Linked DNA regions of Mus musculus. The protein of the gene in region 2 purifies or fractionates together with the protein of the main gene of each other region. This does not show direct contact. Links are inferred from orthologs where the notes say so. Each region holds a gene or a part of one and is shown on either strand. Other genes may lie near its edges. The genes, in order: Dbt, Ppm1k, Bckdhb and Bckdha.

Region 1 (5,850 bases), on a different chromosome or scaffold from region 2:
TAAGTTACTCAGCTCTCCATAACTCCAACAGAATCCCCCAAATAAACCACCTTCTAAAGAAGAGATGTTTAAGTTGGCTCCTAGCTTCCTGGTCTTCAGTTCATGAGCCATCAGCCGCCTTGTCCTAGGTGTGTGGTGCTGCAGCACATGGTGTGCACAGATGTGGACGCTTACTCTCCTCAGAGATGGGGACGAAAAGGCCACCCACAGTCCCCTTTGATGACACACCCATAGTAACTGGAAAATCTCCCCGTAGACTCCAACTCAAAGTTTCCACATTGTCCCACCTCCACTAAATTAAACCAGTCCTTTATTTTATTTATTTTTTATGTTTATGTATGCATGCTTTAAAAAAAAAAAGAAAGAAAGAAATAGGATCTCATTATGTGGTCCAAGCTGGCCTCAAATCATTATATAGCCCAGGCTATCCTCATAATCTCTACTCCTCTACCTCAGTCTTCAGAGCGCTGGAATTATAGGCAATCCCCACCGTATTCTGCTGAGCACAAACCTGGAACACAGACATTCCAGATCCAAACTGCAGCCTTTTCTGTGCTGTGTGGTGGCTAACAGGCCTGGCAGCATGGCTCCCTGACACTGATAGGAATTTAGATGTCTCAATTAGCCTCACAGATAAGGAGCTACTGTGAAACCTACAGTGGGACGGTTGCCAGCGCAGTCACACAGCCAACAGTGCAGTGAGGCCAGAGTTTATCAGGGGCTGTTGTCGCCTCAGAAGCGCTGGTGCCGCACAGCAGCCTTCCCATCCATTACCTCAAGCTTCTCCGTGCCAGGCCCCAGACACGATAGCGCAGATGTTTACAACAGCCCTCCAGGGTGTTTGGATCCTCACTGTTGCTGGTGAGAAAGGACCGGGAGGTGTGTTAACTTGTCCAAGCCCAAAGTAAGTGGCCGACCTGGGAGACTGAGGCGAGTTCTGTTTACACAGCTGAGTTCTTCCCACTCCGCTGTGATGCAGAGAATTTCTGAGAGAAGTATAGTTGTTACCGTGAGGGGAAAAAAAAACCCAAAAGTTTGTATTGTGCGCATGTGTAATTGAGCTGTGGAAGTGCCAGGACAGTTCTGCTTGTGGGGAGGACTCTGTGATGTGTTCTGCCTTGTGTTCTCAAGAGCAGATGGTCCACAAACTGATTTACACCCCAGCCCGTGTTAGGGGTTTTAAATAGGAGCTATATATCTCAGGCTCACTGGCACTTCCTATTGTAGCCCAGTCTGGCCTTAAATTCACAATGCCTCTGCTTCCGATTATAAACCTGGGTTACCACAGCTGGCTTCTCTGTGGCTTCTCTTTACATTCAGATTTTGTTTTTGTTTTTTAACTTATTCTTTTCATTCAGTACATCCCTGTCAGAGTTTCCCCTCCCAGTCAATGTTGTCCCTCCATACCCCCTGCCCAGATCCACTCCTCCTCATTTCCCTTCAGAAAAGTGCAGGCCTCTCAGAGACATCAACCGAGCACAGTGTAACAAAACACCCTAAGCCTGGGGACAAACCCTCCCGTCAAGGCTCTGCAAGGCAGCACAGTAGGAGGAGGACAAGAGTCCCTGGAGCCGGGGAGAAGAGTCAGAGACACACCCATTCCCACTGTTAGGAGTCTCACAGGAATACCAAGCTTACAACCCGATCATAGGCAGAGGGCTAGTGCAGACCTTGCGGGCTATGGGATTGCTGCTTCCGTCTCTGGGCTCCTGTGAGCCCTGCTTGCTTGTTCTGTGGGCTGTGTTCTCCTGGTGTCCTGAGCCCTCCGGCTCCTACACTTTTCCTTTCTATCTTCTGTGGGGTTCCCCTTGTTCCCAGGGTAGGAACCCGGTAGAGATCTCCAATTTGGGCTCTCTTTCCACCTAGTGTGTCGCTGTGGTCTCTGCACCCACTCCTGTCATTGCCAGAGGAAACCTCTGTGATGACACTGGGCTAGGCTCCTGTCTTAGTCAGGGCTTCTATTCCTGCACAAACATCATGACCAAGAAGCAAGTTGGGGAGGAAAGGGTTTATTCAGCTTACACTTCCATGCTGCTGTTCATCACCAAAAGAAGTCAGGATTGGAACTCAAGCAGGTCAGGAAGCAGGAGCTGATGCAGAGGCCATGGGGGGATGTTCCTTACTGGCTTGCTTCCCCTGGCTTGCTCAGCTTGCTCTCTTACAGAACCCAGGACTACCAGCCCGGTGACGGCACCACCCACAATGGGCCCTCCCCACTTGATCACTAATTGAGAAAATGCCTTACAGCTGGATCTCATGGAGGCATTTTCTCAAGGGAGGCCTCCTTTCTCTGTGATAACCCCAGCTTGTGTCAAGTTGACACACAAAACCACCCAGTACAGCAACCGATAACGTTCATATCTTAAAAAAAAAAAATCAATATATATTAACTATACAAAGTAGTGAGTTTCACTAATAAGCAATAAGAATATATGAGAAGGAATGTCAGAAATGACTCAACGGTAAAGATGCCTTGCTGCACAGAGGACCCGGAGTTGATTCACAGAACCTACATGTCAGCCAGCAGCTGGCTGTAACTCTGGTCCTAGGGGATGTGGCCCATACCTCAGGAGGCAGAGGCAGGTGGATCTCTGTGAGTTCAAGGCCATCCTCACCTACACAGTAAGTTCCAGACCAGCTAGGACTATTCAGAGGGACCTGACTTTAAAAAAAAAAGAAAAACAAAGAAAGAGACAAAGAATAATGGGGAGATTTAGAGACTTTGGAGATTTAAATGGACAAATGAACAACAGTGTGTAAAAGTAACAACTGTGTGTAAAACTGTGTGTAAAACAGTGTGTAAAAGTAACAACTGCTTACCCAGAGGTCCTGAGGCTTGTTTCTTAAATGATGAAAATGTTCCTCAAACAAAGTTACTGGGGAAAATGTTTACATATATATATATGTATTATATGTGTGTGTGTGTGTGTGTGTGTGTGCATTGGTTTTTCAAAACAGGGTTTCCCTGTGTATCCCTGGCTGTCCTGGGCTGCAGGGCTACTCTTATTTTTTAAGAATATGTGTGTGTGTGTGTGTGTGTGTGTGTGTGTGTGTGTGTGTTTAGCCCTGGCTGGCCTGGAACTCAGCCATCCGCCTGCCTCTGCCTCCCGAGTGCTGGGACTAGGCTTGTGCCATCACTGCCTGGCTTTTCTGCTCCATCTTTAAACGTTGATGGTAAGTTTATTCTTAACACCAAAATGTATTCTGTTTTAGATTAAGCTGAGTGAAGTTGTTGGCTCAGGAAAAGATGGCAGAATACTTAAAGAAGATATTCTCAGCTTTTTGGAAAAGCAGACAGGAGCCATACTGCCTCCCTCACCAAAATCTGAAATCACACCACCTCCACCACAGCCCAAAGACAGGACCTTTCCCACGCCGATAGCAAAGCCTCCAGTGTTCACAGGCAAAGACCGAACAGAGCCAGTGACAGGTAACAGCAGTGATATGAAGCGGTGTAATTTACTTTGGGGAATTGTCTCAGGAGACGCATCTTCATCGTATGATATTTTTGATTGCCTTTTGAGCCTGGATCTCACTGTGTAGCCCTAGAACTCCATATGTAGACCAGGCTGGCTGTGTACTCACAGAGATCTTCCTGCCTCTGCCTCCCCGACGCTGGGGATTAAAGGCGCGGACCACCACGCCTGGCTTTCAGTTCTCACTAACAGAAAATTTCAAACTCATCATGAAATTACCATAATACAATGGTACAGTTTTTCTATTTTTGTATTGAAAAATAATATTGTCAGGTTTATATAAAACGACTGGCTTTCTTGTAGGCTTCCAGAAGGCAATGGTGAAGACCATGTCTGCAGCCCTGAAGATTCCCCACTTCGGGTATTGTGATGAGATTGACCTTACTCAACTGGTTAAGCTTCGAGAAGAGCTGAAACCTGTTGCTTTGGCGCGTGGAATCAAACTCTCCTTCATGCCCTTCTTCTTAAAGGTGAGTTTCACTCATCCCAGGCCAGGCCCCAGAGGGGATGGTGCCACTTGGTCTTGTAAAGATGCAGCAGATTAGAATTAAAGTACTGCTTTATGCCATATCGTCAGACTTGGGGGGAAAAAAGTCCAAACGCACCCTCTTTGATTCATAGGAATTTATACAGTTGAAAGCTGTATTATATTTTTAATCTGCTTACCTCTTTCTCTAAGATTTATTTTATGTTTAAGTTACATTTACCTATTTATTTAGTGTGTGTGAGTGTGCGTGCTGTGTGTGAGTGTATACTTGTGTGTTTATGCACTCAAGTGCACTCAAGGGGACAACTTATAGGAGTCCGTTTTCTTCTTCTACCTTGTGAGTCCCAGGGATTGAACTCGGGTTGTCAGGAGGAAAAGTGCCTCGCTCAGCTCACTGAACCACCTCGCCAGCCCAAGAGTTTGTTTGTTTGTTTGTTTGTTTGTGTTTGAGGCAGAGTTGCATCCCTGGCTGGCTTGGAACTTATGATGTAGACTGCTTTCAAACTCAGACATCAACCTGCCTCTGCCTCCCAAGTGCTGGGATTAAAGACATATACCACAATGCCTGGCTGTTTGTGTGTGTGTGTGTGTGTGTGTGTGTGTGTGTGTGTGTGTTTGTGTTCATGTATGTACCCACAGAGGCTAAAAGAGGGTGACAGTCAGATCTCCTGGAGCCAGAGTTAGCAGGCAGTGGCGAGTCATTCAGCTGGGGTCCTCTGTAGGTGTAGTGCATGCTCCTAAGTACAGAGCCGTCTCCCCACTTGAAGCTAGGAAGAGAACCCTGCTGACAGTTGAGGGAAGCCTGAAAGAGAGGGGAAGAGGAAAGTTCCAGTTTGAGCTGAAAGGAGACATGAAGTGGCCACACATAACAGTAGTATTCGTTTCCATGTCTTCAACACATCCACGGGGAGGCTTCTGAGTGTGGCACTGCTGGGTCACTGGCAGTGACATTAACAGCCACTGCAAAGCAGCTACCGTGTGTCAGGCTTCGGTAAGCAAGCTCCAGACAGCTATCCCTTACATCTCAGTGGTATTCCAGATGTGCAGATAGTACATTCTCCACTTCCCTCTGAAGAAAACTGGGCCTCAGAGTGGCTGACAGTCTTCTCACGGACGTTCTAGTCTGCTCTGGTCCTGCTCTGGCCTCTCCTCATTCGACATGGCTCCTCCCGCCCTTTCTTCACAGTCTGCCAGGACAAATCATCTTTCACTCAAATTGAATCGGATCCCGATTCTTTCAGCAGTTTCCCTTCAGTGCCTTTAGGATGATTTCCCAAGTCCTTAGTGTGGCCTACAAGTCTCTGCTGGCTACCCCTCCAGTCTCCTCAAAACCACTCTCTGCCCACTCTGTTTTAATCACATTGAGCTGAAATATCCACCAGGTCTCTCCCTCTGTCTCTCTGTGTCTCTCTGTCTCTGTCTCTCTCTCTGTTTCTCTCTCTTCTCTCCCTATTTTGTTTTGTTTGTTGTTTTTTGCAACAGTTTCACTAGCTAGCCCAGGCTGGCCTGAAACTCACAGTCCTGCCCCAGCCTTCCTAGTGCTGAACTGAGATTACAGGCATGAGCCATCTCTCCTGGCCTCCTCTTTCAAATATCTGTGCATTTTAAATATGGGATCCGTTCAGATATAGACTCCAGAATCCCTCTGTGGCTCCCACTGTCACCACATGCTATTGCTGCCCACTGTGGTGCGCTTTAGTGTGCTGCTGTTGTTAGCCTGGTTCCCTTCTCCAGATACTGAGCCCCTGAGACACAATGTGTTCTCCTTTAGCATCTGCCCTGCAAATGGATAATCTCTAAGCATGGAAGGTCATGGATGTCTCCAAATGAAGGTGGGGGGAGGGCATCTGGACTCTGTTAGGGGTAGAGAATCACCTATAGAGGTGT
Region 2 (6,405 bases):
TCAGTGTGAGGAGCTATACAGCTGGCTCCTCAGTGATGCAGAACTAGGTCAGTACCACCTACGCAAGGAGATTTATGTGGTTCCCTCTCCTTTGCAGCCACACCACAACTATACCACACTGATCCCTTTCAGAGACCCAAGAAAACTATTCAAAGGCAACTTGTGTTCCCAAGCTACATGAGGACTTTCAATTAAACCTGCTCACAACCCAGAGTTGTAGCTTATTGGTTGAAAACCCTCAATTCAAAAATCTAACCAGTTCCCACCAAACAAAAAACAAAACAGCAAGAGAGAGAGAGAGAGAGAGAGAGAGACAGACAGACAGACAGACAGACAGACAGACAGACAGACAGAGACAGAGAAGCATCGTTACTCCAAACCAAACAAAGGTCTACACTGAGAAAGATTTCTCCTGCTTCAAGTTGAGGAAAAACAAAACACAGCATCATCAGCCTGAGAGGTCTTGGAATGCCAGCAAAAATAGCCATGAACTGAACAGCAGATGAGAGGGGCAGAGTGGAAGTGTGAAAGACCACACTTAGAAAAGAGTGGAGGACAACCTGACAGGGGCCTAAGCAGTCTCTATGTTTATCAGCTCAGTGAGCTTGAGCCAGGATAAGCTTATCAGCTTCTCCACTAAGAAGCAGCTACTTAACAAGGTGTTTATAATCAGGAATGCCACTCTGTGGTTTAGAAATCTAAGCTAACTGATGTTAGTAAACCATTTAAACAATTATATGTAAGCTTTCAAAGTGAAGCATCCGTCATTCCTGATACTACACAAAATATCCCAGGAAACTAATGGAACATGTACAAAGCATATACACAAACAATGCATAAACTTTAAACTATGCCAAGGAAAAAAATAAAGAAAAATAATTTGCCTGGAATCCTAGATATAAAACATAACCAATCTAAAATATATTGGTAATTGTATATAAAAGGAAAAATGGTAATCTTGCCCGAACTATTTCAAATTCTTTCTTATTTCTCAACCAAAACAAAATGTATCACAACTTAACCACATCAGTCTTTTTTTTTAATTTATTTATTATTATAAATAAGTACATTATTGCTGTCTTCAGACACAGCAGAAGAGGGGGTCAGATCTCATTATAGGTGGTTGTGGGCCACCATGTGGTTGCTGAGATTTGAATTCAGGACCTTTAGAAGAGCAGTCAGTGCTCTGACCCACTGAGCCATCTCGCCAACCCCACATCAGTCTTTAAAAATATGTTTGTGTATGTCCAAAAGTAAAAACGCATTCTAGGGGCTGGAGAGATGGCTCAGCGATTAAGAGCACTGACAGCAGTCTTGAGTTCAAATCCTAGCAACCACAAGGTGGCTCACAAACATCTGTGACACCCTTTTCTGTTGTGTCTGAAGAGAGGGACCTTGTACTCACATACATAAAATAAATAAATCTTTTAAAAATATGCATTCTAGATTATGTTCTCTATTATAAATTTCTGAAAATACGCCTTTTCCACCATTTCCTCCTGATTTGTGTGACTATGTCTTTCTCCCCATCTTCCTCCTCAACCTGATACTTTAAAACTGACAAGTTAAGAAGTAAAGAAATAAATAGAATTGCAATGTTAGAACAATGTTATTGCCATATAAGTAATTCCATTTAGCAGAAATTTCAGCCCCAAAAGTTTAAGAAGCTGTGAGATCATCTTCAAGACAGTACTGTGAAACCCACTTTTCCAGAACAACAACTTCAGGCCAAAGGAGTTTGATTCCCAACACTTAGGAGATGGAGGCAGGAGGATCAGGAGTTAATGCCCAGTCTGGACTACTTAACACCCAGTCTCAACTCATGGGCCTTGTGAAGTTTGCCAGTCACCATTTGATTTCATAGCACAAGGACCCACACATGCAGATGCAAGACTACTGCACCAACTTTCCTTTTCATATTTCTCAGATGTTTTACTTGCTCAGCAGTTTAACCCCTGAGCTTTTTCAATTTCATTTTTGGAAAAAGGAGTCCTATCTCGATAGCAGGTTTTGGCACTGGAATCTGAATGTCAAAAACTATTCAAAGGGGAAGTTTATTATTATCACTTTACACAAGAACTCGGCAGGATTAACTGACTGAGGGTTCTGGCAGTCAGCAGAGGGCTTGGAGTTTCCTCCCTCCAGGAAGCTGGTGAGGTAACTAGAAAGTGGCACTTTGGTATTTTTCCATAATGGAAACACAAGATAATTTTTGATATGTATGTATGCATACATACATGTATGTGAGCCCGGGGGAAGTGCAGGCCAGTGCAAGCAGGCAGAGGCCTTTAGTGGTCAAGCAACATCATCGGCCCGATTTTTAACACTCTTAAACTCCAAATTTCTTTACCACCATCAACAACAAAACCCCAGTGCACCCCAATAAACAACTAAAATCATCTGAAAACCTCAGAAATGTATTTTAGGAAATCCGCACTCTTGATGCCTTTATCGCCTTTTAGGAGGAAAGGAAATGTTAGTTTACTGGAGAAAAGAAAACAACAAAACGGTCAATAACTCCCTTCGGTTGTATGTGAGAGTCTGTTTTCATAGGCGAAGTGAGAATACAGTATTGAAAAGTAAGTGTTACTCAACTCTGTGAAGGGGGTGGGTTGATGTAGACAAGGAAAAAGAGACTCGGATTGCAAGAAAAACAATTATAAACAAGAGCCCATTATCCAAAGCTTCCTATTTTATGACATTTGTCATACAGTGTGGTGAGCTGGTTTCCAATTTCCACAAGTTCCAACACACACTAGAAGGGCAACACAGCCCCTTCCGCCAAGCCCTGCAGATCTCGATCTCAAGAGAGCCCCAGGTTTCCTCACCAGGGCACAGGTCCAGCAGAGGCTACATCTGCTCTGCCGGGTTGACATGCACATTGGGGGTTGGGGGCTTCGCAGTTTCTATTCCTGCAGCTCCTACAACGAAAACCGGTGGAGCTTTTGAGAGTCGAAATTTCCTAGCTATTTCTACCCAGAGCCTCAATCTTTGTCTCCTCCGGGTAAATTCTCTCATCTACAGAAAGCGTCTGCGAAAACCTGCGCCAGGAGCCACATGCCCCTAAGATACAGTGCTCTCCTAGCAAAGCAAAACACAAGCTCTCAGATCCAAACGACCAGGGCTCCGCAATCCTTCTCTACACCAGTCCCTTTGCAAGCCTGGGCTGGATAGAATCGTGGGCTGGTTTGCTGGCCTTGAACGAAGCTGGACGCGGCAGGACAACACTCTCCTGAGCTCTTGAGATCTGGCATCCCAAGTTCTTAGGCAGCTATGCCTGCTCTCGCGGGCAGGAGCGCACCAAAGGGTCTCGCTGCAGTGAATCAGGGTTCTGTTATCTTTGCTAGCTTTCTCATTCTCTCCCTGGGACCCCGCCCATCTTTCTATCCCTGCTTCCCTGGGGCTCACTATCAGCCCGAGGTCAAGTTCAAGGCCGACCAAGGCTGCTTTGGGGGAGCCGGATGCTCGGGCGCAGCCACCGTGGGCCTAGGCGAGAGCAGCTGCTTTCCACTTCCAGAAAAAGGGAGCACATCGAACCCAGAGAGATGCGCGTGGGACTCGGTCTCAGACAGAGTAAGCTGCAGGAACTCATTTCATATTTCTCTTTCGCCTTCCCGGGGACCTCCGGAGACCGCCAATGTCTCGTCAACAACCTAGGAGAATAAGCGAATTAAACTCCTTAGGCTCTTACCTTGTGATGGGTAGGTGTCTGTAAATTTCTTAATTGGCTAATGGAAGGAAGGGAAGGATTTCTTGGATGATAAACTAGACTGACTTCTCTGTTGATTATGATCTCCAGAACAAGCAATTAGGGAAGCCACAGTCTCTTCCACTCCTGGAAATTCTCGGAAAATAAAAAAAAATCAACCGCAGCTGGCCAAATGGAGACCCGGAGGAGTGTATTTCCGATGATTGACAGCAACACTAGCCAGTTGGTGCTCTGAAAGACTCTTTGCCCGCCCTCAATCTGAGCCAATTACAGATTTAGATAGGAACGAGCCTCCTGCACAGGCAATTTGACCTCTCAGATTGCCAATTAAACGCCGTAGAGCGACGTCAAAGTGGGCCAGTAGCTGTTCGACGTTGGCGCCCCGCCCTCCTGATGGGCCTGGCGGCCTCGAATCAGGCACCAGGGACCTTGCTTTTCGCCAGCCACTGGAGGAGGGAGTTTCACTTCTGCCAAAGTTATCTTAACTCTGACCCAAGAAATCGAGACTCGGACAGCCACGCTTTGCTTGAGTGTAGCACTTGTACGTCATCCAGTGTTCTTTGACAAATCACAAACCAATGTTCTTCGGACTGCATTAACAGGCATCTTGGGATGGCTCGCGACTATCCTGCATGCCAAAAAGATTTCCGTCTTTTGAAGGAAGCATTGCCTTGGATCTGGGGGTCCAAACTGATTCAAATAATCAGATAACTGCCTTTAGAACCTTCGGTCTAATAAGGAAGATGAGGAAGCAAGCCAACAAATAAACAGTAAAAGACAAATCACGTCTAAAGAGGGAACGGCTCAGGTGTGGCTGGAGAACACTGGGCAGCGGATTTTACCGCGCTGAATCTAGTCAAGGCAGGATGGATCTGAGCAGAAGACAATAGCAGATGCCTTTCAGGCTGTATCAGCACACTCCCGGGCAGGTTTCATGCACAGGAATACTGGTCAACACTAAATTGACTCCATGATTTTTTATGTGTGCGTGTTTTGGTTTTGTTTTGATACTTTTTAAGTCTTTTTAAAAATATTCATTTATTTATTTATTTATACACTGTACACTATAGCGGTCTTCAGACACTCCAGAAAATGGCATCAGATTTCATTACGGATGGTTGTGAGCCACCATGTGGTTGCTGGGGTTTGAACTCGGGACCTTTGGAAGAGCAGTCAGCGCTCTTAACCGCTGAGCCATCTCACCAGCTCCCCCCACCTCCACTTTTTAAGTCTTAATTGGGTTGTTTTTGTTTTGATTTTGGGTTTTTGTTTTTTTGTTTTGTTTTTTGTTTTTGGGTTTTTTTTTTGAGACAGAGAGAGAACATACATAAAGTTGAGTGAGTAGTACGGAAGTGGGGAGGATCTGAAAGGAATTGTGGAAGGGGAAAGAATTGCTCAAAATGCATGTATGGAATAAGTTTTAATTAAAAATATTCTTAAAATTAATAATTAAGTTGTGTTGCCTAGTTGCACCTCCTGGTCCAAGAGCATCTGGAGACCCAGTGCATTTAATAATAATATGTTTCGACAGTGATATTTGTGTTAGTGACTCACTAAATCTAACAATGGCTTATGTTGGATAGAGAATCAATTTTCATAAAGCTCTTGAAATTGTTACCGGATCCAGCATATAGACAGAAAAGTGTGCATATTGAGTGTGGCTCAAGAGATCTTCACAACATACAGCCTGACTTTATATCTAGCACCTGATCAAGAAACAATGTTTTTAGTCCCCAAGGGACCCTTCATCCTGCCGGGCATCCCATTACTGCTTCTGTCCAGGGGCAGCCTCCACGCTGACTTTTAACACAGTAGATTAATTTTGTCTTTACACTTGGTATGTATTAAACCATAACCTACACATACTTTTTGTTTGTTTGGCTTCTCTGGTTCAACAACGTATGTGTAAGATGTATTTTTTCATGTTGCTATCAGAACACATACTACTCTTCCAGAACGCTGTAGTTTGATTCCCAGTTCATGTGTAGGGCAGCTTATAACCTATAACTCTGGGGGTTCAATGCCTCTGGCCTCCAAGGACATCAGCCCTCTTAGGCACATACCTACACACTGACCACACCCATAGACATAATTAAAAATAATGAATCTTTTAAAAAAAAACAAAGAAAATTAATTACTATCATTTGTATTTGTAACTAAGGAAACTGGATAAAGAGACTGAAAAAGTGGGCTGAGGCACTTAGTTTGCAAGAGGTTGAACTGGGACTACTTGGCTATGTCTCTCTTCATAGCCAGGCTCTCCGCTTCTTTCTCATGAGAGGTAAGTGTGAAGACACTGAACTCATATTCACTATGCAGTACTGCCCAGAGCCTTTCTCTCTAGAGCATCTTTGATGTCTTTCCTACACGCACTGCAGAAACAGCACCACCTAATTCTGAAGCATTTACACACCCAGGCCTTTTCTTTTATAGACTTTCTGGTGAGATTTGTTGCCTGTTCTGTTTTTAGGACTGATGATGATTTTGTGCTATGTGAAGAGGTATAAATGTGGCCTTTGTCAGTCTGTGATCTCAGCAGATCTCTTTCTCTTGCAGATTGCTTTGGTATTTTTCAACAAGAAAAGGAGAGGGAGCGAGTTCCTGTGGTCCAGGGCACATCCATCCAGTCATAGTAGCTTGTAGACAGAGACTTTACTCTCCTAACGTACAAATCTTACTGGAGAATTTAGGAGGAG
Region 3 (6,645 bases), on a different chromosome or scaffold from region 2:
GGTAGCACAGCCCACACTGTTTTGTGCCCAGTCACACCGATCATTAATCAAGAAAATAACCCACAGACTAGTGTATAATCTAATTTAACAGAAACATTTTCTCAGTTGAAGTCCTCTCTTCCCACATAACCCTGCTTGCTTGTGTCAAATTTACAAAAAAGTCTAACCAGGACAAGCAATTCTCTGCCCATCAAAGTTTTCTTTTTCTTACACTTTGTGTGTGTGTGGTGTGTGTGTGTGTGTGTGTGTGTGTGTGTGTGTGTATACGTACGATGACATCTTGTGGAGGTCATAGGGCAACTTTCAGGAGTTATTTCTTGTCTAACATGTCATCTTTAGGTATTAAACCCACGTTATCAGGATTAGCAGCAAGCTCCTTTACCCTCTCAGCCATACCCTAGTCCTTTCAACTCAGTTTTCATTGACTAACTTGTCTTTTTAAAACCTTGAGTTTAAAGAGTGCATATGTATAAAACAATAAATCCTGTTACAAACCCATTATTAACTGCCAAATGTCTCCAAGTTTCTTCGTTCTGAAGGCCACATTTGCATACTTCCTAGCCACCCCGGAGCAACATTTTACTCTTCTGTATGGCACGCTAGCTTGAAGGTAGTGATATTCCTCTGGATCCATCTGCAAAGAAAGTGTTACTTTTTTACATATAGTCACTGAATCAAAAGAGGGACGAATCTCAGCAGAAGTAGACTGAAGTGAAGTTCTGTGAGAGAAAACGAACCAAGAATCATTCTGAAGAAAGAAGAGCAACTGTGATGTCCATTGGCTCCATCTTCACAGGCTCTCCGTGTCCCCAGGGATTAGTCAGAAACCCAAGTGGAAATGGCTCAAACAAAGAAGATAGCCCATTTGCAGCATATTAAGGTGTCATGAGGAACCCAGCCATCAGAAATTCCAAATGTAGTCAGTTTCATCTTTTTTTGGGATTATCAAATTACTGAAAACTTCCAATTTTTGCACTTCCCAGAGGCATTTAAAGATAGCCTGACTCCCTGAAAAGAGAGTTTCCCAAACGAAGTTCAATGCAGCTGGGGATGGGGGCAGGCAGAGGCTCTCAGCATAGGAACAAGACATTTCTTTCCTTGCCCTGGAAGACACTTCATTCTTTCACGACAATGAGCCTTTGCACCCACCTCACCTGTTGTGGAAGACTATGGTTCTCTGTGCTCTGCTTTGGCAACCTCTAATCCTCTGGGTGCAGGTCAGCCTTACCTCTGGAAGCATTTTGACCTTCAAGAGCTTGTTTCTCTTCATGCTGTTCTAAGTCTCTTACCACATTTGAATGCCACTGTCTAAGCTGTCTCCTTTGTGTGCATTTCTGAATACGTAGAATTCCATTTCTACTCTTACCCCGTGCTTCTTAGCTAAACCTAACATCTGTTAAGAGGTCACAAATACTACAGGAGGAATGTTTCTTCCTGGCTCCTTCCTCTCTGTTCTCTCAGTCTGTCATAATACTTTCTCCATTCTGGAATCCTTCCTCGAGATCTAGACATACTTTCTTGCCTCTGTTGTATTCTATTTTGATGGCTATCTTCCAACTCATGGCTAAGGAAGATAAATAAATACACACACACATATCATATATATGATATATATGCGATATCATATTTGATATGTATGTGATATATATGATATATATAAAACACTTAAATATTTTAAGATAAAATTTATAAAGTTGATTATTTTGACTTTAAATCAGTCATTCAACTTGCTTTTTTTTTTTTTTTTGGTTTTTTGAGACAGGGTTTCTCTGTGTAGCCCTGGCTGTCCTGGAACTCACTCTGTAGACCAGCCTGCCTCTGCCTCCCAAGTGCTGGGATTAAAGGCGTGCACCACCACCGCCCGGCAACTTGCATATTTCTAAGTTACACAGAGTAAGACCATTAGGTGATTTTTGCTGCACCTCGACTTTAAATTCCTAGTGGATTTGAAGGCCGAAATCTCTACTTACTATTTTTTGATATGATCTAAATCAGGATAAGCAAAATCAATTTTAAAGATTTAAATATATTTACTATTTCAAAATAAGAGTGAAGGCCTTTCCCGAATTCTAGATTTTTTCGGAAACTCGAAACCAACGCCTGTCTTTGCAATGACCATATTGCACTTACAGACTATGAGAAACACAGCCTAAAACGAAAACGCTACTGAAAAATGCACCGCAAAAATGACACTGCGAAAGAACACAGGCAGTCGCGTTGTGACACCCCAAGTCCTGCAGCTGATTTTGGGGTGGGACCCAGGGACCACATCTCAGGCTGCAGGGGCCTTGGTATGGCTTCCGTCTGGGCGGGCCGCCAGGTCATAGCGTCTCCATCCCCGCCCCCGAACTTCCGTCTCCGATTGGTCTCTTTCACGGACCCGCCCCTCGAGGCTGCCCAATGAGGAAGCCTGCGTCTTAGCTCCTCCCTCCCTGCCGGCAGCGTGGGCTGCGGTGCCTGAGAACTGGGGATGGCGGCGGTGGCTGCGCGCGCGGGTGGGCTGCTGTGGCTCCGGGCTGCGGGAGCAGAGCGGCGGCGGTGCGGACTGCGCTGCGCTGCGCTGGTGCAAGGCTTCCTGCAACCCGGGGGCGAGGACACGGCCCAGAAGCGGCGGGTGGCCCACTTCACTTTCCATCCGGACCCAGAGTCCCTGCAGTATGGTGAGATTTGGGGATCTTGCTGCATCCCGGCTCTATCCTTGCCTTGCCCTAGACTCTAGACTCTACTCTAGAGCCTCCTTGGTTCGGGTCAGTTTGCGTTCCTGTTACTCGTCCTTGGTGATTCTTCCCTTCAGATGCAGCCCCTGGAACTTCAAGATAGGTGAGAGGGCACTCTGCCTTCTGCTAGGGCCTGAGGGTGTAGAGGAGTTGTCCAAAGAGCGCTCCCCCGCCCCCTTCCCCTGAGTTCTATCCATGCTTTCCCCATATCAGGTCTTAGGTGTTAGCTTGTCCTAGACTGAGTCACTAACTTGAGGCAACTGTCTGTAAAACACTTGCCTTTTAATTTTCATTTGAAAATGTAAACCTAGGGAGTAAATACTAGAATTTGATTTTCTCAAGGTCACGAGACAGGTTCTGCCTAAAGATGGGAAAGAATCCAGACTTCTATTTCAGCCTCATACAGAGCTCCTGCTGGGCCCCGCTGTCACCTGGCCAAGCAGTATTCCATAGAGATGGTGGAGAAGAGCGAACAGAAGGGAATGGGGCAGGCTCCTGTCCTGCCACCTTTGCCTCACTCTGACTGTTTCTCCTGTAAGTTTTATGCAGTCGCCCTCCATCCTAGGTCTAACTGCAGAGCACCAGGAGAAAGTAAGGAAAACCTACACTGTTTTTTTTTTTTTTTTTGTCTAATAACTTGGGGCTGGCAGTTTTTGGAAGCCCATCTTTACTTGTGAACAATAATGGAATATTTAACCGAAAGCTTGCTATTGGTGAAATTTACATTCCTCATCTCATTTAGTTCATAGGACAAGATTTAATTTCATGTGAGGTAGGTCATGTTTTCATGTTTGCTTTGCAGTTAGATAAACGGAAGCCTTGAAGCAGATTATTCAACAGTACACAGGACATAAGTTCATGAGACATAGCGCCAATGGTCAGAATCTAGTAAGCAGGATTCCAGACTTGCCACTCCACGGAAGGCAATAAAGAGGCCTTTAGAAATAATTTCAATGACGGGGTTTCCCAGTTTTGTGAAATAGTAGGACTAGAAAGATGAACAGCAGTTCGTTTTTCCCTCTCAGCCTTCAGTACTGTTTTCACAGCAAAGAAACTTTGGCCTGGTAATGGAGAAATAGAGCAGAGGTCTTCCGAATTCTCCTTTCCACAGTTGTGAAATTACTAAAATCCGAGTGATGTCATGGCTCTAGGTTGTTACTATAGAAACAGTACAAACATCTTACAGATAAAAGGCAGAGTTTAGAAAAAAGTGACAACATGATTGCACCTCTCATGGTGGATGCTGCTAAACCTTTTGAGGTTCATTCTTCCAGAGCTCTGTCTTTTCCACAGTTGTAGTTTTAATACAAGTCCAATTTGCATCAACTAGAAAAATAACTTCCTGTACTGCTGTAGAGTTTTGTTGATCTGTAGAGTTCAGTAGTGAGAGTCAGGGTCTTGAGTTTGGTTTTGTCCCCATCCCCTGAGACTTTTTTTTTTTTTTTTTTTTTTTTTTTAGAGACAGGGTTTCTCTGTGTAATCCTGGCTGTCCTGGAACTCACCAGGCTGGCCTCGAACTCAGAAATCCGCCTGCCTCTGCCTCCCGAGTGCTGGGATTAAAGGCGTGCGCCACCACGCCCGGTTCCCCTGAGACTTTGAAGTCCTCACTTCTGCAAGCCTCACATCTCTGTAATTAAGGGATTAATGATAATAGCGATTTCAAAAGGAGAGGAGAGCTGAGGGCTGAATAAAATTTATGTATATATATATATATATATATATATATGAATGAATGACACAGTGTTTGCCATCTTGGAAGTAATAACGCAGTAAAGGGAAACTTTCAATAGACAATACCATGCATTTGTCATAGTTTCACAGTATTAGAAAAATCACACACATTTCATGCATGTGGCTCTCCTGCCCCCAATGATAGAGCCCTAGAGATTAGAGTTCTCACTCAAAGACATGAATGGTTTAATGGAGTTTTTAAATGCCCACTTTGAATCCCCAGTTTACCCCCAGTGTGTATAAGAGTGTTCAGTGTAGTAAGTGTGAGAGTGTGTAAGAATGTGTAAGAGTGCCGGGTGGTGCACACCTTTAAGCCCAGCACTCGGGAGGCAGAGGCAGGTGGATTTCTGAGTTCGAGGAGGCCAGCCTGGTCTACAAAGTGAGTTCCAGGACAGCCAGGGCTATACAGATGAACCCTGTCTCAAAAAAACCAAAAAAAGAAAAAAAAAGAAAAAAAGAAAAAAAAAAAGAATATGTAAGAGGAATGTGTAAGAGTGTGCTAGGGGCTAATGATGCTGAAAAGCCCAGGCACACAGCCTTGGGATTTTGTGCTAACTTCTGCACTTGTGTTTGCAGCTCTTTCAGTCTTGCTGAGGAAAGCTCTCCCATGTATTAGCTCACTGGTTCATGTTCTTTTGTGACTTGAATTTGCTTTTTTTCTTTCTTTCTTTCTTTTTTTAATATATTTTGAAAATTGCACCTTTAGTCATGTCTCCTGTTCATGTCAACACTGTTCTATGTTGTTGAGCAATTGCTTTTTATTCAGCTGGTGTAGGCACGAAGTCTCTTAGCTTGACAACCATCATGTGCGTTAGATGGTGTTTGTGTTCACTGTACAGATGAGGCAGTGGAGGCACAGAGAGACTTGTGGTCTTCCCAAGTGTGGCGAAGGGCAGAGTCAGCTTCCAGTCCCATTGTGTCCGACTCTTAAAGTCTTACAAATGGGTTTAGGTGTTAAAACTTTGCATCTTACGCCCGTTAATGAAGGTTCGGATTCTCTGTGCTTCATGGGTGCTACAGATGCTTTCCGTTCATCCATACTGTTTGATTTCACACAGAAAAGGTCCTGCTTCAGTTGCTGACTGGGGCCAACTTCTTTTAAGGTGCACAGTGGCCTGGAACAAGGACTTATCTTTGCAAAGACCATGGGAGCATTGTTTTTCAGGCAGGAAAAGACCTTTTGTAGGCTCTTTCTGTGCTGTATCAACAGAGAAAACCTCTGCGATTGAGATGTTTCTAGTAGTGGGGTAGGCAGGTCCCGTGATGATCAGGGGTAAATGAAGACCTTTTGTTGATGGGGCTCCCCTTTTTTATGGGATAGGAATAGCATGAATAAACTCGGATTAGTAAGCATGATGTTTCTTTGTGCATTGGGAAGTGAGTTTATTTGGAGTGAAAAAGGAAGACATATGAAAGATGGAGGCTTTAATATTCAGTACAAAACTTGGGGAGAGAAAGTAACACATGTCTAAGGTGCACCTCACAGTGTGATGGGTGCACTGACTTTGGTTCAAATTCTGTTGGGCTCTGGGAGACCTTCGTTTATTTCTAGGAGACAGGTGATTTGCAATGTTTTTGTTAGTGGATGGTATCGCTAGATGTATAGCAAGGAGCTGAGAGACGAGCTTTGAATATTGTCATTGCCTGGGTGAGTACCAGAGGGTAGTAGTAATACGAGTCATGTTGACCCTGTTTTACCTGTGGGTGCTGGGGAAGGGAGCTGACGATGATGTAATCGTTTGTAGCAAGAGAGACTAAAGGATGATGTGGTATTTTTCATTTTACCCAGACAAAAGTCAATGTAAGGGAGGATGTATTTTGGCTTACAGTCCATCGTGTCGGGTAAGGCATGGTGGTGGCAGCAGCTTGAGGAAGCTGGTCACAGTACATCTGCAGTCAGGAAGCAGGATGGGATGAATACTGATGCTCAACCTTTTTTCCTTTTCATGCAGTCCCAACCCAGCAAATACATTCATGCTGTTGGCATTGGGAGAGGGTCTTCCCTCCTCCACTAACCTCCTCTTGATGACCCTTCACAGGTGTGTTTTGAGGCTTGTTTCCTAAGTGATTCTAGATCTTGTCAGGTTGACAGTTGGTACTAGTAAGGGGAAGGAGCCAGGACCACTGATACAAGTAGGGAATTCTGGGGTAGATCTCCATCTTTGGAAAGTGGGAGGGCACCTGATGGAGACTTAAA
Region 4 (5,055 bases), on a different chromosome or scaffold from region 2:
GCTACGGCAACGTGAATGACCCAGGCAAGGGACGCCAGATGCCTGTTCACTACGGCTGCAAGGAACGCCACTTCGTCACCATTTCCTCTCCACTGGCCACGCAGATCCCTCAGGGTGAGGACCTGTGCTCTGAGCCTTACGCATGCAATACCTGTGGCCCAGCTCTCTGTGGGCCCAGGCCTCCCGCCTGCTAGTTGAGTAGAACCGTTAGAGCCTGGCCTGTGTACAGGGACCTCTCAGAGGAGGGCTCTGTGGTGTCTCACCTCATCAAGCAGCCTTGGGTCATCATGACCCTGCTGAACTTCCCAGACTCCTCCTGCCCAAGCTAGCATGGCCAGGCATTGTGTCGTTGCCACACTCAAGACTGTCTAATGACACTGTCGGTGGCTGGGGGGTAAACCTAGCATGTACAATTGTCCCTGTTGCAAAGACCAGAACATTGAAGCTGAAGAAGGAAGTGACTTACTAGGGACTTGTGGTAGGGAGGAGGGCAGGAACTTACTCATGGGTACTCGTGACTGCAGAGACCACGGTCTACCCTGCCCTGGCTAGCCTGGACCTCAAGTGGACTTCCCAGAGCTGGGGTGCCCTGAGGCTCCTGTATGCTACCGAGACTGCCAGGGTGCTGGGCCTGTGCCCACACAGCACACAGACCAAGGATTGGCTCTCTTATGGCCTCCTGGGCCCAGAATCTGATAGGAGGCGTGTGTCTCGGTGTAGCCCTGCTGTTGAACCAGTCTGGGTGTGTGGCTTGTGTGGCTTGTGTGTCTGCAGACCTCCTGGGAGAATGTGGGAAGCAGAGCTGTTTATTATGGTGCACCAGAGTCCCTTATTCAGCAAATGTATGCCAGGTGTCACCCTAGGCTTTCTGAATAAGACAAATGTCAACCCTGTTCATACTGATGCTGTCTTGAGGGAGAGGGGGCATCAGGGAAGAGTGTGAAGAGATGGTACCTGGAGTGCTTCGTGCAGGTGACAGGAAAGGCAGCACAGAGCCATGTCGAGGGGGCAGTAGCAGGGGCATCACAAGTGATTGAAAGGCAGACTGGAAGTCGTGTGGAAGGGAGCTGTGTGGGCACCTTGAGGCAATCGTGTGTTTAGTTGTGACTAGACCAGGGGACTAAGGGTGGGGAGTACTGAGCACTCGGGGCTTAGTGGCCTTTCCTATTGCAAGGACTTGGCCCACAGTGGCCTGAGAGCCCAGAGTTAGGAAGGAGTCTGCCAGACTCACACTTAAGAGTCCCCTGGCTGCGGCTTGGCCTTGGTGTGGAAGGTCCAGATCTGGCTATCCTCTGAAGGTGGCTGGCATACATGTAAGCGTGACAGACAGGAGTCAGGGGTCACACCCTAGGTACCTGGAGACAACTTTCCGAGCCTGAGTCTGCGTGCGTGTGTGGTGTGTGTGTGTGTGTGTGAGAGAGAGAGACAGAGACAGAGACAGAGAGGGAGGGAAGGAGGGAGGGGCAGGCTTATTCCTACTCACACGCTCTCATCTGTGTCCCTGTGCAGCGGTAGGGGCAGCCTATGCTGCCAAGCGGGCCAATGCCAACCGGATTGTGATCTGTTACTTTGGCGAGGGGGCAGCCAGTGAAGGGGATGCCCACGCCGGTTTCAATTTCGCTGCCACCCTGGAGTGTCCCATCATCTTCTTCTGCCGGAACAATGGCTATGCCATCTCCACACCAACCTCTGAGCAGTACCGTGGGGATGGCATAGGTAAGGGCCTTTCTCTTGCTGCCCTCCTTCCTGTTCTCTCCCTGATGGTGTCTGACAGTAAGGGCACAGGGGGCAATGAGCAGAGCACACCCTTCACTCTCCTCTTCCCCTTTCTTCTCCCTGAGGCCTGACTGGCATCCTCTCTGTCCTGCAGCGGCTCGGGGCCCTGGGTACGGCATCATGTCAATCCGTGTGGACGGCAACGATGTGTTTGCTGTGTACAATGCCACTAAGGAGGCCCGACGGCGGGCTGTGGCTGAGAACCAGCCCTTCCTCATTGAGGCCATGACCTACAGGTGCCTGTCTCCCTTCCACCCCTGCAGCTCACAGGTCTGACAAGCTCTGTCAGCACCCCCCCACGTGTGGCCTGGTCACCCCATGTGCACTCCCTTCCTTGTGCCACATCACTCCTGTGTCCTTTTCTGACACCCCGCCCCCGGCTGATCCACAATCCTCCCCTGAGCAGGATTGGCCACCACAGCACCAGTGACGACAGCTCAGCGTACCGTTCGGTGGACGAGGTCAATTACTGGGACAAGCAGGACCACCCAATCTCGAGGCTGAGGCAGTACCTGCTGAACCAGGGTTGGTGGGATGAGGAACAGGAGAAGGCCTGGCGGAAGCAGTCACGAAAGAAGGTGAGGGCCCATTGGAGCCCCAGGGTGTGCTCCCGATGGCTCTGCACAGCGAGAACTCTGGGAGAACAGGAATAGAGGACCTGGGTATATTCACACTGACCCAGGCAAGCCTTGTCCTCATGCGTGGCTCATAGAGCCAAGCCACCTGGACCATATGGCCTCAGTGACTCTTCACAGTGGAACCCAGGGCTAGTCATGTTCCTGGGGTATCTACTTCATAACTCAGTCCATGTAAAGTGGTATGTCCTACCTGGGCTAGAGCTAATGTCACCCTCTGTGCACTTAGAACAGGCCTGTTCTGGCCTCATACTGCACCGTGGTCACTAGCTCAGCTCTGACTCCGTCGCCCTGAGGAATCCTTTCCTTTCTCTGCATCTTGCCCTCCACTCCTGTTCCCTCCATTGCAGAGCTGAGCTGACAGTGCAGGGCCAGGACCCTGCAGGCTAGGCTCTGGAATGTTCATTAACACCAGTCTGAGGCCTCAGAGGGGTGAGGCTGGACCGTGGCTTGTGGTTGGGAGAGGGCAGGATGAAGGGGACAGCCACTTACTCCCTCATGTCTCCCAGGTCATGGAAGCCTTTGAGCAGGCTGAGCGGAAGCTAAAGCCGAACCCAAGCCTCCTCTTCTCCGATGTGTACCAGGAGATGCCCGCCCAGCTCCGCAGGCAGCAGGAGTCGCTGGCACGGCACCTGCAGACTTACGGGGAGCACTACCCCCTGGACCACTTTGACAAGTGAGGCCCTAGCCAGCACAAGGGGGTCCTGCTCTGAGTGGATGCTGCCCCCTGTGCTAGTCAGCTGTGCGAACATGCTGAGCAGCCAGGGTGGCATTCCAGGGTGACTTTTGCTCCTGTTCCTGCTCCCCCAGGCTACTTCACTGGGGCACCATGTTTGCAGCCATTGCTGCGGCTACTTCACTCCCTTCACCTGTTACAGTGCCTTTTAGGGGTGGGAAGGGACCAGGGCCAGGGAAGACCCTCTGGGCAGGGTGGCCCTGGGCTTGCCCAGAGAGATAGCTGATTGGCAGAGTAAGTAAACCACAGGTCTGCCTTTGACTCTGCTTCCTTCGTCTCTGTTTCCTCAAGTTTGGGGGCTGGGGTGTGTATGTGGAGAGGAGGAGAGAGCCCAGCATGGCTGATTTGGTTTGGAGTGCTGTTGTGTGTTTGTGTATCTACACAGTAACTTACTGGGACTTATGATATTGCTTTAGCTTCTAGTTCTGGGACTATATCGTATATAGCACCACACCAGCCTTTGGGGACATCCTGGCTTCTTAGGCAGAAAGACTTGGAAATACCTACTTCTATAAATGTTCCCAGGCTAGAGGGCAGCCTTGGCATGTATGTGGCCCCTCCAGAGAAAGCCCTCCATGACCTGGTAGATGCATGATGTCCAATGAGGTGTCCAGGATGCCCCCTGGAACCTGCCAGGCTAGGCTGGGTGAGGGCAGAGGGGCAGCAGCATCTGCCTTCCCTGCAGGGGTCCCATGGAAGAAATCGCTCCTGGCCTTGGAGTAGGAAGGACACATTTTTCAAAACCATAAAGTAGATAAACACAGTCTGCCACCTTGGCTAAGAAGGGTTTAGGAGAGACTCAGGCCAGGTCAGCCCCACCCACCCCAGCTTGTCTCTAGGAGAGACTCAGGCCAGGTCAGCACCCACCCACCCCAGCTTGTCTCTGCCGGTCAGCACTGGAGCTCTGGGACCCACAGATGTCTCCAGAGCCAAATGGTGTCCTGAGGGCTGACTGGATGCACCAAGAGCAGGCCTCGCACGGCGCAGGGGTCCCTGGTACGTTCTGCTGGCCAGGCTGTGAGGAAGCCTGGATGGGCACGGGGTGCTAAGCCCAGGGCACGGAAGCAGAAGCCAGTGTAGACATCATCAAAGGGGAAGGGTGCCACGCGAGCTGCCGCCTGCAGCAGCCAGGGTGCCAGGCGTCCTGAGATTACATAGCCACCTCCACTCGCATAGGCTGGATAGTCCCCTTCAAAGAAGGTCTTCGGCACATAGAAGGGTCCTCCGGGCTTGCGGAGCGGTTTGGCCTGGGTGAAGATCTCACCCAGGTAGAGGCTGCGGGCCCAGGTGGGTGGCAGAGTCTGCAGGTGCTCCAGTAGGGCTGGGATGTGCACAAAGGCATCATCCTGAACCTGCAGGACAAAATTGACATCGGGGCAGTGGTGGCTCAGCCAGGTCAGCAGCAGCAGGTCCTTGAGTGTCCGGTTGTAGGGAACATCCAGGAAGTCCCAGAGCAGTAGGTCACCATAGCGCCGGCTTTCCCACGTCACCAGTGATCTTAAGTCAGGCCCCCCCATTCCTAGGGGGGACCCCAGCAGGAAGAGCAACCGGGTCCCAGCAACTGGGCTGCCCCAGGTCTCCCTCACAGCCTGCCGTGCTGCAAAGTGTCCTGGTTCTGATTTGACAGCCAGTAGCAAGTAGGGTACATCCTTATCAGAGCAGCTGGCCACAGGGCTGCCTTCTCCTGCAGGCAGCCATAGTGGAAAGCTCCTACAGGCCGCCGACAGCAAGAAGCGCCGAAGCTCCTGGGGGTACAGGATGAAGTCCAAGATCTCCGAGGCAGCAACAGTCCCCCAAGTCTGACAGTCCGTACTGGGCAGGACTCCCAGCTGCCGCTGCTGCTGGTTCCAGTAAGCAGAGGACAGTGGGCCAGTCTGACCCAGGCGTGCTGAGAGGTTGGTGGGCAGA

Evidence for each region.
Region 1: the proteins of Ppm1k (region 2) and Dbt purify together in Homo sapiens (affinity purification with mass spectrometry; 4 studies listed by BioGRID and IntAct, counting the BioPlex papers as one, with this or other methods). This does not show direct contact. The link is inferred for Mus musculus from reciprocal best matches to the Homo sapiens genes PPM1K and DBT.
Region 3: the proteins of Ppm1k (region 2) and Bckdhb purify together in Homo sapiens (affinity purification with mass spectrometry; 3 studies listed by BioGRID and IntAct, counting the BioPlex papers as one, with this or other methods). This does not show direct contact. The link is inferred for Mus musculus from reciprocal best matches to the Homo sapiens genes PPM1K and BCKDHB.
Region 4: the proteins of Ppm1k (region 2) and Bckdha purify together in Homo sapiens (affinity purification with mass spectrometry; 4 studies listed by BioGRID and IntAct, counting the BioPlex papers as one, with this or other methods). This does not show direct contact. The link is inferred for Mus musculus from reciprocal best matches to the Homo sapiens genes PPM1K and BCKDHA.

What each region holds. Positions count from the first base shown.
Region 1 is NC_000069.6:116,535,876-116,541,725, forward strand, and holds part of Dbt (lipoamide acyltransferase component of branched-chain alpha-keto acid dehydrogenase complex, mitochondrial), read left to right. Parts: intron 1-3,213; coding exon 3,214-3,430; intron 3,431-3,779; coding exon 3,780-3,946; intron 3,947-5,850. UniProt on the Homo sapiens protein: The branched-chain alpha-keto dehydrogenase complex catalyzes the overall conversion of alpha-keto acids to acyl-CoA and CO(2).
Region 2 is NC_000072.6:57,531,589-57,537,993, forward strand, and holds the start of Ppm1k (protein phosphatase 1K, mitochondrial precursor), read right to left. Parts: upstream 3,900-6,405; 5' UTR 3,692-3,899; intron 1-3,691. UniProt on the Homo sapiens protein: Serine/threonine-protein phosphatase component of macronutrients metabolism.
Region 3 is NC_000075.6:83,922,700-83,929,344, forward strand, and holds the start of Bckdhb (2-oxoisovalerate dehydrogenase subunit beta, mitochondrial), read left to right. Parts: upstream 1-2,437; 5' UTR 2,438-2,470; coding exon 2,471-2,660; intron 2,661-6,645. UniProt on the Homo sapiens protein: Together with BCKDHA forms the heterotetrameric E1 subunit of the mitochondrial branched-chain alpha-ketoacid dehydrogenase (BCKD) complex.
Region 4 is NC_000073.6:25,628,299-25,633,353, reverse strand, and holds the end of Bckdha (2-oxoisovalerate dehydrogenase subunit alpha, mitochondrial), read left to right. Parts: coding exon 1-114; intron 115-1,509; coding exon 1,510-1,716; intron 1,717-1,870; coding exon 1,871-2,012; intron 2,013-2,182; coding exon 2,183-2,354; intron 2,355-2,920; coding exon 2,921-3,091; 3' UTR 3,092-3,502; downstream 3,503-5,055. Other genes in the region: B3gnt8 (UDP-GlcNAc:betaGal beta-1,3-N-acetylglucosaminyltransferase 8), read right to left, coding at 4,038-5,055. UniProt on the Homo sapiens protein: Together with BCKDHB forms the heterotetrameric E1 subunit of the mitochondrial branched-chain alpha-ketoacid dehydrogenase (BCKD) complex.